Linked DNA regions of Mus musculus. The protein of the gene in region 3 interacts with the protein of the main gene of each other region in a pairwise test. Links are inferred from orthologs where the notes say so. Each region holds a gene or a part of one and is shown on either strand. Other genes may lie near its edges.

Region 1 (4,325 bases), on a different chromosome or scaffold from region 3:
CAAGTGCTGGGATTACAGGCATGCACCACCTCTGCCGGGCAGCTCTCCCTTTTGTAACTGGTCATTCTAATATGTAGGTCCCTGGTACTTAGGGCCAGCGTTCTTCTCTTTGAAACTAAGTAGCTCTATCTAAATCGCAAACTGCTGGAGTCATTGGCTTCATCTTTTGCTCTGAAAGGCATTTTCAATTGCAAATGATGTTCAGTAAACACTTGTCGAAAGAACAATTCACTTGCCTTATTTTAGTGGACTCATTATTGTAGCAGAGGCTTGGGTATTCTTAACTGTATTTTGTTGGCTTCTAGAGAACACATTGACATTGGCTGTGTTCTTGCTCTCCTATAATTGAAAAGAGCTTTTGGAACTGAGAGGTACTTCTCCAAGCTTCATCTACTACTCCCCCAAAACCGGCAGCCCCGCACAGGAACCTATCTATGCACTTTGCATCGCACAGAACACGACTTTCTCACGCCTCCATCCATCTCTCTGTTCTGTGCCATTCCGTTTGTTGGCTAAGCGCTTACCCTGGCTCCTGTGCTGTGGAACTCCTACTCGCCCTCCAGTACTCAGTTCCACATCACCTTCTTTGTTAAGTCTTTTATACAGTGGGCTGAGGAACAGAGCCAGCCTTTCTCTATCTTTTTGGCTTCCTCAGCATTCCCCCAAAGAGCTATGTGTAAGTGTTATAGCTGTGTGTGTATGTGTGTGTGTGTGTGTGTGTGTGTGTGTGTGTGTGTGCGCGCGCGCGCGCGCGCGCATGAGGGTGTGTGCAGGTGAATGCTAGTGCTATCAGAGGCCAGCGGCACTAAGTCTCCTGGAACTGGGGTTACAGACAGTTGTGAGCCATCTGGTGTGGGTGCAGGTCCTCTGGAAGAGCAGCAAGCAGTTTTTGACCTGAGAGGTCTCTCCAGCCAAGACATTACTTGTTTACTCTTCTGCTGCTTCTCTCGATTTAACCTCTTGAAGGCCAGGATCTCTGCTCGTTGTTTCATCTTCTTTACCCAGCACAGTGCTTACTTACACTGGGTATGTGGTTCACTGCGTGAACAGACTAATCAAACAATTCATCGAATACTGCAGGTTGCACGAACCAGATCCCCAAACGTTTCTAGAACTGGTCCTCTATTTGGGTTGAGCCATCCTGAGATCTCTCCCCGCTCCTCGGTGCCTCTTTGCTTTGTTTTGGTAGAAAGGACGTGATTAGAGTGTGGAAAGCGCCGTTCCTCTAGAGCAGAGCTGTAATTCACTTGCTCCGGCACGTAGAGGGTTACAACGGCCCAGGGGCGGAGCCGAGTCCGTGCCACCTGCTGCGGGCCGAGCTGACGCATGCGCGAAGCCCCCCTCTAGGCTACCTGCCGGGCGGAGCGGAGGAGGAGCGCTTGCGCTCTGGGCCTTTTCCGCCGGGGGAAGTCTCGCGGGGGCGGGGCGCGGCGGGGCGGGGCCGCGTGGGGAAGTTCTCGCGGGACCCTGGCGAGGAGCGGAAGCTAGGTTGCTCTGTTGCTTCTGCGATCGGGCGGCGGCGGCGGCGAGAGCGAGCGGGGCTGCGGCCGGGACGGCGGTCGGGGCAGCGGGCGCCGCAGTCAGGGAGCAGCAGCGAGGTTGGCGGCTGCGGGCGGCAGCGCAGGGCGGGCCGGGCCGGGTGACGGAGTGGACGGCGCGTCACGGTGAGTGCAGGGGAGCGGGCGGGAAGTGAGCGGGAGCTCCGTGGTCCCCGCGCCGCGCGGCGGCGAGCGGCTCGGGCCCGGGCTGCTCGGGGCTGCCGGGGAGGGCCGCTCGCGGGCCGGGGAAGGCTGGGACCCGAGCGCAGCGGCTGCGCAGCCGTCTCCTCGTTTCCCCTTTTGGGGCGCTTCCTTCCTGGTGCCGGTCTTCCTCCCGCTGGGGGCAGAGACCCGGCCCGCCGGGGAGGTCTGGTGTGGCGGCCGTCCGGCTGGACGCTGGGGAGCCCGGAGCAGCCGAGAGGCGCAGGCTGCTGCTCTGAGTCAGGCTGACTGAGCCCGGGAGGCGGGGGATTCGGTGCCCGCAGCTAACGTGGTGATTGATGCTCCTTTGACCTGCAAGGCCACCACGTCACCGCCTCTTGGCATCTTGCGGTGGAATTGTGTGCGGGAATCCACCGTGACTTAGAATGATTGTTACCCGGACCCGCCGACGGGTCTTTGTGAGAGTTGGGCGCTTCTCTTTTTAGAAGGACTTGAGGGGGAAAAAATACTTGTTGGGGGGTGGGGGGGAAGCAGCAGCAGCAGCGGATAGGAATGCTGGAAGGAAGGAATTTTGGGGAGAGAGCCCCGTTGGTTCCTGCAACACTCTTAGGTCGTGTGGGTTGGTAAGAAAGGGATTTTAGGCTGTGTTCAAAAGCTATAGCAGTGCAGTTTGCCGGGTAGCCGAAGCGCGTTCAACGTCATCTTTCGGTGCTGTTGACACTCAGAAAGAGGCTAGAGAAACTGGGTTTTGTTGTTGTTGTTTTTTTGTTTTGTTTTTTGTTTTTGACTTCTTCACCTCTCTTTCACTTTTCCGTTTTTGCCTTCTGTCTCCATTCTACGCTACTAGGGACACGAAAAGCATCTGTAGCGCCAGTCATTGGTCCCTCCGCCCCCTTTAAAAAAAAATCTACTTCCCCTTCTTGCTGTTCCTCCGTTATAATTTTCAAGTTTCTGCTGGTTTGGGCACTGTTCATTTTCTCCGTCGTTCTAAGATCCCCTTTTCTTTTGGAGGGAGATACCTTCCCTGTTTGCATTCCTTTTTTAACGTCCACTGTATTCATCAGGCAGCCAGGAGGGCTACTTGGGAGCCAGGGGGGCGGGGGCGGGTGGTGGTGTTGGTGGTAGGGGGCTGTTTAAGTTCTCCCCCTGGGAACTAGGAAACTCAAAGGACTGAATTCATCCCTAAGTAAGTGATAGTGACCAGTTCACAAGTGGATTTTGCCTGTTTGCTTGTGTTACTTGTATTTTGGTGTTTTTTTTTTTTCACAGATCATGGTTTGTTCGTAGTATTTTCCTTCTTGCTCCCTCCTGTTTCCCCTCACTGTTAGTAAGGGAGATTGAGTCAGTTTGGGAGCTGAAAGACTCCTTTTTAAGGTTTTAGTGAGGTTAACTATTGTTAAGTGAGAAATCACCCATGGGAGTTTGTGAAGTAAGATAGCTTGAAATAGAAGAGAACTTTGATATTTGTGAATTAAAGCCTACCTACCTACCCTAACAAATGATTTAGTCCTAATCAGGCTTTTAAAAGTGATTTTTAAGTTTTTTACATTCTTGAGTGTATTTACCTGCGCGTGCGCGCGGGCGTGTGTGTGTGTGTGTGTGTGTGTGTGTACATGCCTGGTGCCCTCAGATGCTAAAGGAGGACCAATACCCCTTGAACAGGAGTTACAGAGGGTTGTGAGCAGCCATATTCTTCTCTCTGGCCCGATAGTTGGTTTTAAGCACCGTTTGCTGTGTTACTGAGGTTTTTTCATGATTTCCACTATGTCGCGTGTGTACAGCAGCCCTTAGAGAATTATGGAGTGTTAGACTTCAGAGATGGCAAAACAGAGCTGCCACTCTCCCGACAGGCAGCACTGAGAGGTAGTTAGTTACCTGCTGATTGGCCATGGTTACTGAGATTTATTGTTTTGTGATTGTCAAAGTTGATTTTCCCCTGAGTTGTGCCAAGTCTAATGTGCATCATTTTCTTTGTTCAGACATAGTGCATTATCTGAAATGCAAATTTTAAAATTTGCTTAGTGTTTCCTCATTTTAACAGTGATTCTTAAAATTTGTATGTATAAACATAACCTGCCAATTAAAAAAAATTTTATGGGCTCTCCGGAGAGATGGCTCATTGGTTAAGAGCACTGACTGTTCTTCCAGAGGTCCTGAGTTCAGTTCCCAGCAACCATATGGTGACTCACAACCATTTGTAATGGGATCTGACACCCTCTTCTGGTCTGTCTGAAGACAGCTACAGTGTACTCATACACATATAATAAATAATTCTTTTTAAAAAATTTTATTCAATTTTTTTGAGACAAGGTCTTGATGTATTGTCCAAGTTGGTCTCAAATTATTTCTCTATTGATTTTTGAGGCAGGGTCAGTGTCTCTCTGTTTAGTCCTGGCTTTCTTAGAACTCTATCTGTAGACTAACTAGGCTGGCCTTAAACTCACAGACATTCTCCTGCCTCTGCTTTCTGTTGAAGTGTTGGGATGAAGGTGTGCGCCACCATTGGCCCTGGTTTTGCTTTGAGCCATTCTGCTTCAGCCCCACCCCAGTGCTTCTGCTGCCACTTGGGAGGGGACACTGTCACAGCTAGGTGGTGGCAGAACTCAGGCAAGATTGCAGAATGTG
Region 2 (3,644 bases), on a different chromosome or scaffold from region 3:
TTGCTACAACACACTAAGGTACTGTACCCACGCAATTCATTATAAAATGCAAAGTTAAGTTCTAGTCCTTAAAAGCTGCTATAAGACTGTTTAAAATAATTAGAAATACAAGTTAATAGTCAATCAAACATATGGTCTTGTAGGAACTTCTTTATTTATTTACAAAATTAAGCTTTATTTAGAGGTAGATGTTCTCAATGTTAATCAGACAGTAAATAGAAACAATTCAGATATACTATAGACAGATGGTCTTTAAATATAGCATTTAAAGATGCTTTATTAATTTAATCCTTCTTTGATAATAAGACAGGTCAGCTCCTGGCATCACCCCTACTGGGCTTCAAAGAAGATGCTGAGCATTAGAGTTTGCTTCAAAAGTGGTAAGCTAGCCAGTGGGCAAGGAGCTACCCTTGCTTCATGCTGACAGAATGCTGCTGTCCAAACTGCACAAATGGGATGCAGGGAAGTTGCCTGCTGAGGTTTGCCAAGACAAGATGAGCAGTCCTTTTCTATTTCCTGTTTCACAAAAAGGCCTGTCAGGTATTCTGGGCTACAAAGCTACAGATGACGCTCCTATGACTCAGAGAAATTTGGGAGGCTGTCCAGACAGCCAACTGTCTCTGTCACTGTCATAGTCTAGGAGCTGCTTGCCTACACTTCCTGCACACTCAGGTAATATTTATTCCTTCTCAGGTCTCTGATGGGGTTGAAGACTAAATAGATGTTTTAAAGTCTATGCAAGTTATGGTAAGAATGATTTAAGTACAGAACTCTAAACTCACCAGGATAGGATAGATGGTAGAGTACTTTATCCAAAGTTGCCAGATACATATGGACTAGACATTATAAATATAATTCTTACCTGATAATTTTTCATATTTGTTATTATTGTATATAGTCTACTGATGGAAAATAAAAGTCTTTTATCGGACTACAGGGGAACTTATAGAGAATATGTTGTATAGTGTATGGATACATCAACTTGTCAATAAAAACTCTGGCTTATAGGAAAGGGAGAATAGAAGGTGAGACATCTGGTAAGCAGAAAGGATTCTGGGAGAGAGCCAGGTGCATGGAAATTTGCCTGGGAACATGGGGGAGGACAGACGCATGGGGTCTGAGAGGAGGTAGGCATCCATGTGGCAGAACTTAGGTTAAAATAAATGGAATATTAAAGTATGAGCTAGTAAGAGAATGAGCCACAGCTTATGGCCAAGGTATCTGTAAATATATTTTGAGTCTCAGAGTCCTTATTCCAGGGGTTTGGGGCCTGAAGGGAAAACCCCACAGAGAAAAGAGCAGGGTTGCTGTGACCCAGGCACTCACATTTCTGCAGCAGTTCTGCCCGCAGCGTGGCACTCTTAGGTTTCCGCTTTAGCTGAAAATGCTTGACTGGTGGGGTGAGGGGCCCAGCAAGGGTGGTCAGGGCATTCTTGTTCAGGTACTGGCACTCCAGTGGTAGCATGGCAGATGCCTCGCACTCACTCACTGTGGAGAGTCAGAGGGTTAGAGAAATAGTTCTTACAACCCCATAGCTCACATGTAGACAACTCCATGAAGGCTTTCATTATTTATCACTGTGACAGCTTCTTGCTTTGGTTTCAAGCCCCTATCGTCCCCACCATTCCAGTTCCACCGTCTCTAGAACCCAAGATCATCCAGGTGCATCAGGACCAAAGAATAGGCCTGTCGCCCTAGAGGAAACCTCAGATTTTCCAGGGGCTTTTTAAAAACAAGAAATGCCTAGAAAAGAAGACAGGGTTCCTCAATTATGTCAGCCATAAGCCACTGGACTCCAGTGGAGGTCCAGGAACCACAAGCATCAGCATACAGCAGCATGGAGAACAGCCTCCTGCATCCTAACTACAAGGCAGATTCAACACCAAGAGGAACAAGTGTGTGGCTATCTTATCTTCCCCTTTGACTGCAGAGCCCTGGCGGTCTCTCCTGACTTCCTCAGAGGAAGTTTTCTAAAGCCACTCCCGTGTGCTTCCTGATTCGATGTGCTCACCAAGAGGCTGGAGCCTGAAAAACTCCAAAGAGCTATCCCAGTCAGTCATCTAACTAGGGGAAGCAGAATCATGAGAAGCAAGCTGCTTCACCCTCCTGCTGTCAAGTGAACCAGCCACCACGGTAGGGATGTGACATGTGCAGACCAATGCTCTGAGTCTGCAACTAAAATCAACAAAACCCCCAAACCTCCTAGGGCCTCACAAGCAGGCCTGTAGGAGTGTGTGACCTCGAGCCTCCAACTCCATCTTTCTGAGGCATAGGTCTTCATTCTCCATCAAGGGAGAGAGCGTCAGAGGCACAGATATTCCTACTCTCACCTCTCTAAAACCACAGTTTTCATCTCATAGTCTAGAAACTGATTTGTTGGTATTTTTTAATGAGTATCTACTAAAGGACAGAGAATGTTTTTTAGGCTCAGGAAACATAACCTGTAGGGTTTTCACCCTCAAGGAACTTTTGGGGAGAGAGAGCAATGGTCAAGTAAATCATGATGAGTCAGAGCTGCAGACACAGCACATGCAGTGGGGACAGGGTTGTGGCAAGTCAGACCGAAGCAGTCATGTGTATAAGGAGCCATGGCATACTACATCAAGGGTATAATAATGACAACATAATTTCTAAAACTAGAGCACCTTCTTGCCACTGCAAAATAAAGTTGGCTACTTACCTTTTTCTCTAAGTTCTCCTAAGATGTCTTGAACATTGGGGTTCTGTTCCTCAAGGTCCAGATTCAAGGAGCCCGTGTCAGGGAAGGACTTCAGAATGTCAGCAACCATGAGGACCCAGGGGTCTGAGTCCAGCGTGGCCAGCTGGATGATATCCATCAGAGCCGCCTTCATCTGCCAAGAAAGAAGACACCAAGTACATGTCAGCAGCCCCACTTGGCCTTCGGAACAGTGACAGCTTAAAATGTCCCCTGCCGTGACTGTAGGCTGGGATGGCTTTTCAGACTGTGCCTATGCTTCCTAACTCTCTCTGGTGGGCAGATATAACAAAACATAAGATTCAAGGAAACAGGGCTGCCATGCCTATACTTACGGAATATGTGCCTTTAATGGGCATTCTTTTGGCAGGCAGAATTGGGCTCAGGTTCAGTAACATGGAGCACCAAGGCAAGTGGGTAACCCATCATTTCTTTGGTGCAAAGGAGGGACAGGGACAAGAGCTTATACCATGAGCAACTGCCACTGCTAGTAATAGATAGATGCTTGAAGTTACAGTGTGCATAGGAGAAACCTTAGAAAGCTGGGCACATGGAATGATGCATGCAGCTTATGAGCTATGGACACCTACCAGAGAGTTAGAGGGGGCCAGGAAGTCTTAGGAAGTCTTTGCTGCAGCCTGTGTGGGAGCCTGTGGCTGAAGACAAGAGGGATTTGACCTCTACCACCTACAGGTAAGAGTGCTACCTAACCTGTGCTGCTTTGTCACATTAGCTGTGGTGGTTTGAATAAGAATGGCCATGTGTGGGAAGGATTAGGAGGAGTGATCTTACAGGTGTGTGTGTGGGGAGGGCAAGTTCTCCTACGAAGTGGAGAGAGGTGTGAAGCAGAAGTTTAGCATAGCCATTGTATATGGCTAATACAATGGCTTTGAAGTAGCCTTTTGTAAATAGTCAGTGATTGTTTTCT
Region 3 (3,814 bases):
CAACATGGCCAGCCCCAGGTGATTAACTTTCTTCTTGAGACAGTGTCAGAAAGCTTAGGCTGGCCTTGAAATGTGGATCCTGTCTCCTCCTACCTCCTCAGTGCTAGGGTTACAACCAGGTACCAAACATAGTTTATACTTGTGAATAACGACTGAGCCCCTAAGCACTGTACCAACTGAGTCCCAAGCACTGTACCAACTGAGCCCCAACATGCTAGCAACTGAGCTACAGCACCCCATCTTCATTTCTTGTAGATGAGGCTGTACTTTGTGGCCCAGACTGGTCTGCAATCTCCCTACCCAGGCAACCTGAATGCAGGGCTAACAGTTCAGCCTGACACTTCAATTCTGAGGATTCTGGCTCAACTCTGAAGGCATGTGACTGCCACCCCCCCACCACCCCCCCCAGCACACACACGCATACACACACACACACACACACACACATTGGCCTCACCAATGTCTTAGCAGGCTTGCCTGGTCGTGGCCACAGGACACGTGTCCACATACAGCTGAGAGATCAAATGGCTTTAATTGGGGATGGCTCCCGGGTCCAGCCTGGGTCCTGCAGCAGCGGCGGCGGCAGCTGTGTCAGCTGGGCCTGTGGTCTGCCTGTGTCTGCTGCCTGGCTTCCCTTTCTTGGTGGGCATGCTGGGTTTTTTCCCCAGTTGATGGGACCGCAGGCCTGGGGCCACTGTGTCAGTGGCAGGGACCCCGAGATGCGGCACTGGTGGTTCATCATCCAGGGCCTTGAAGCTGAAAAAGTAGTCCACATTGGCCACCGCATCTAGGATCTCGGGGACACTGTAGTCAAAGGACAGCAGGTCATCTGGCAGGTGCAGGGAGCGAATGTCGGTTGGGAAGTCATCCCCACCGCCACCACTGTCCCGCAGTCCAGGGCCAGGACCCCTGTGCAAGGCCACCTCAGGCTCAGTGCCACCAGGGAGACAATCAAAAAGTTTCATGGCATCTTCGAGAAGGACCTTGTCCGGTAGGAAGAACGCACGTGCCGCCTCGGCAGGCATGGTCTCCCCTGAGCCCACTGGGGTGACGTCCTCCACCTTGGCCACCTTGGGCTCTACAGGCCCGGGTGGGAATCGCAGACCTGGCCTGGCCACACCACTGCTCTGCAGCTCCCTGGAAGCCTCAATGGGCCTCATGGTCACCTGGGGTCCTGGGAACTGGCTGGCTTGGCCACCGAGATGGCCATAGGGCCCGGGTGGCAGCGTGTGTGCCGTGGGGACTGTGATAAGCAAGGGAGATGGCGTAGTCTCTTTGGGGGTTGGCGGAGGTGCCAGGCGGTCTCTGAGCATCTCCATGAAGTTGAGAGGCCCTCCGTCCCGCATGAAGCCCAGAGCCTCAGGCACAGGCTCCTCCGCTGGAAGGTAATGTGTGAGGTACTGTGGCCCGCTGGGGGCCGGCTGGTAGTGGGGGTACAGTAGAGGTGGTGGCCCCGGGGCCTTGAGGTAGGATGGGGCCTCCAGCAAGTAACCACCAGACAAGGCAGGACCCCCAGCCACTGCCACTTTGTACAGGGATGACTGGCCAAAGTCGGAGGTGGCCCACTCGATGCGGTAGATTCGGGGGTCGAAGAAGCAGCCGCAGGGAGCCATCTGGAAGCCTGTGGGTGGCAGACACCTGAGTGGAGCTCCATGGGGCAACCAGGCCTTGGGGAGGGGGGGCGGGATGCCCAAAGCCGAGGCACATAGGACACAGCCCTGACCTCAGAGGGGCCTTGTGACCTGGCCCTGACTACCAGTCATCTGACACAGAGAAACTGTTGGGGTTTTCTCCTCTGATGCCTCTCAGAGGAACAGCGACCTGAGTTTGGGTGCCCAGGCCTCTCAGAAAGCCTTGCCTAGTAGCAGCTGCCATCACCAAAACAGGCTTCGGCTTGGTCTCCAGTGTCACTTGAAATGTGACACATGAGTTTAGCTATAGGGAAATCTGTCTGGAGTACAGAGGGGACCCAGGGTCATTTTAGGGTCTCATCTCGGGAGAGTATGGAGCCTGCTCATAGCAGGGCTCAGGGGTGCTGGCTGATACCTGCTGGAGGGGCTGGAAGCACATCCTGGTCCGAGCCGGGGGTCTGATAGTGCAGGTTAGCATTGGCTGTGGACAAAGGTGCCCGGTGGGTGGGGCAGGAGCCCAGGCCCCATGGCCATCACACACCCCTGCCCACCACCACCATCGTACCTACGGTGGGAAGGGGTTCTGGGCCACCTGGCACCTCAGGGCCCTCCAGGCTCTGCAGGCTGAAGCCTTCCTGGGATATGGCTGGGGGATACAGGGTTTTGGGATGCTGCATGGGTGAGACAAGCCACCCCGGGGGGACCTGGGTGGCAGCAGAGGCACCTTGGGGATAGAGTCCCTCTGGGTTCTGTTTGCCCCGTTGCTAGGTGGAGGGTTCCAGTCCAGGGCAGGCTCATCACTTGGGTTCCGGGGGAGGGGGAGGGGGTGGGCAAGAGGTGACTCCCTCTGCTCCCTGAGCCAGGTCGCTGCTGCTGCCTTCACGCAAGTCACCTAATTCAAAATCACAAGGAGAGCCAGGCAGTGGTGGTACACTTCTTTAATCCCAGCATTCAGAGGCAGACAAGTGGCTCTCTTGAGTTTGAGGCCAGCCTGGTTTACACAGAGCAACCCTGTCTTGAAAAACCAAAGTCACAAGGACACTGGCCAGCAAAACAGGACACCTAAAAAAAAAAAGCCAAGTATGATGGACGGTGAGTGCCTAGGATTCCAGGAGTTCAAGGCCAGCCCAGACAACAGGAGATCTTGTCTCAAAAAACCAACAAAATAAAAGAAATGATAGAAGAATAATATTTATTGTCTGTATTGGCTACTTGTAGGCATTGGCCTTGTGCTTGGGCAGGAAGACGAAGCCAGGAGGTACTGGTCCAAGCAGCATCTCACTGTGGGGACAAAATGGACAGGTCAGGCCTGGGCCTCCCAGCATCAACTCGCAGAGCCCTGGTCTGTGAGTACCTGATGCGAATCCAGTCTGCAGCCTGCTGGCTGGCCATCAGTGTCTCCAGGTAGTCACGGCCTAAGTAATAGGGTGGCCTCTCATTGATCCTCTGTGGGGGTCGCTCGAGCAGGCCCACGGGCACATACCTGTGGGCCAGGAGGGTAGGGGAGGCAAGAAGGCCGAGTGAGGAGGCCCAAGGCTCCGATCTCTTACCCTAGCTGCTTGCCTGTCCAATGCCCACCTGCAAAGAAAAGAGAGCCACTCAAGCAGGAAGCGCCGGGTCCGCTCCACGCCCTGTGTGTCGGAGCCCCAGTGTTCTAAACCGTAGTGAGTGAAGTCCCTCAGGATGTCCAGGCGCTCGGAGGACGAGATGTCCCAGTGCCTCTGTTCTTTGATCTCCGTGAACAGCCAGGGCTTGAGCAAGGCACCACTACAGAGGGAGATGCCCAGTGAGGACTTGTGCCTCCGAGCTCTGTCCCTTCAACAGCCAGGCCTCGCCCTCACAGGAGTGCAGAAGGTCCTAGCACTGCTGCCCCAGCCCAGCTGCTGCTCACCGGGCAACCATGATCCCCGCAACGCCTGTCTGCATGGCACAGTTGGCGTCCTCAAACGAAAGGATGTCCCCATTTCCTGAGGAGACACAGTGGGGTCTTGACAGTGGCAGGCCCCATGGACATGGGGGGCATCATCAATCAGTCTGGAGATTTCCAAGGGACCCAGCATCCCTCCCAGTCTTCCCAGTTGAAAGATGTGACCCTAGTGGTTCTGGGTACCTACCAAACAGGGGCATGGGGCTGGCCACCTTGGCACACTGTTCTATGTAGGGCCAGTCAGCCAGCCTGGTGT

The links.
Region 1: the proteins of Prr22 (region 3) and Grb2 interact in a two-hybrid assay, tested with the Homo sapiens proteins (2 studies listed by BioGRID). The two-hybrid records come from large-scale screens. The link is inferred for Mus musculus from reciprocal best matches to the Homo sapiens genes PRR22 and GRB2.
Region 2: the proteins of Prr22 (region 3) and Nelfa interact in a two-hybrid assay, tested with the Homo sapiens proteins (2 studies listed by BioGRID). The two-hybrid records come from large-scale screens. The link is inferred for Mus musculus from reciprocal best matches to the Homo sapiens genes PRR22 and NELFA.

What each region holds. Positions count from the first base shown.
Region 1 is NC_000077.6:115,705,733-115,710,057, reverse strand, and holds the start of Grb2 (growth factor receptor-bound protein 2), read left to right. Parts: upstream 1-1,460; 5' UTR 1,461-1,664; intron 1,665-4,325. UniProt on the Homo sapiens protein: Non-enzymatic adapter protein that plays a pivotal role in precisely regulated signaling cascades from cell surface receptors to cellular responses, including signaling transduction and gene expression.
Region 2 is NC_000071.6:33,919,166-33,922,809, forward strand, and holds part of Nelfa (negative elongation factor A), read right to left. Parts: intron 2,853-3,644; coding exon 2,681-2,852; intron 1,489-2,680; coding exon 1,327-1,488; intron 1-1,326. UniProt on the Homo sapiens protein: Essential component of the NELF complex, a complex that negatively regulates the elongation of transcription by RNA polymerase II.
Region 3 is NC_000083.6:56,768,834-56,772,647, reverse strand, and holds Prr22 (proline-rich protein 22), read right to left. Parts: upstream 2,373-3,814; 5' UTR 2,309-2,372; coding exon 2,197-2,308; intron 2,113-2,196; coding exon 2,047-2,112; intron 1,622-2,046; coding exon 531-1,621; 3' UTR 514-530; downstream 1-513. Other genes in the region: Dus3l (tRNA-dihydrouridine(47) synthase [NAD(P)(+)]-like), read right to left, coding at 2,840-2,912, 2,986-3,114, 3,210-3,398, 3,523-3,598, 3,746-3,814.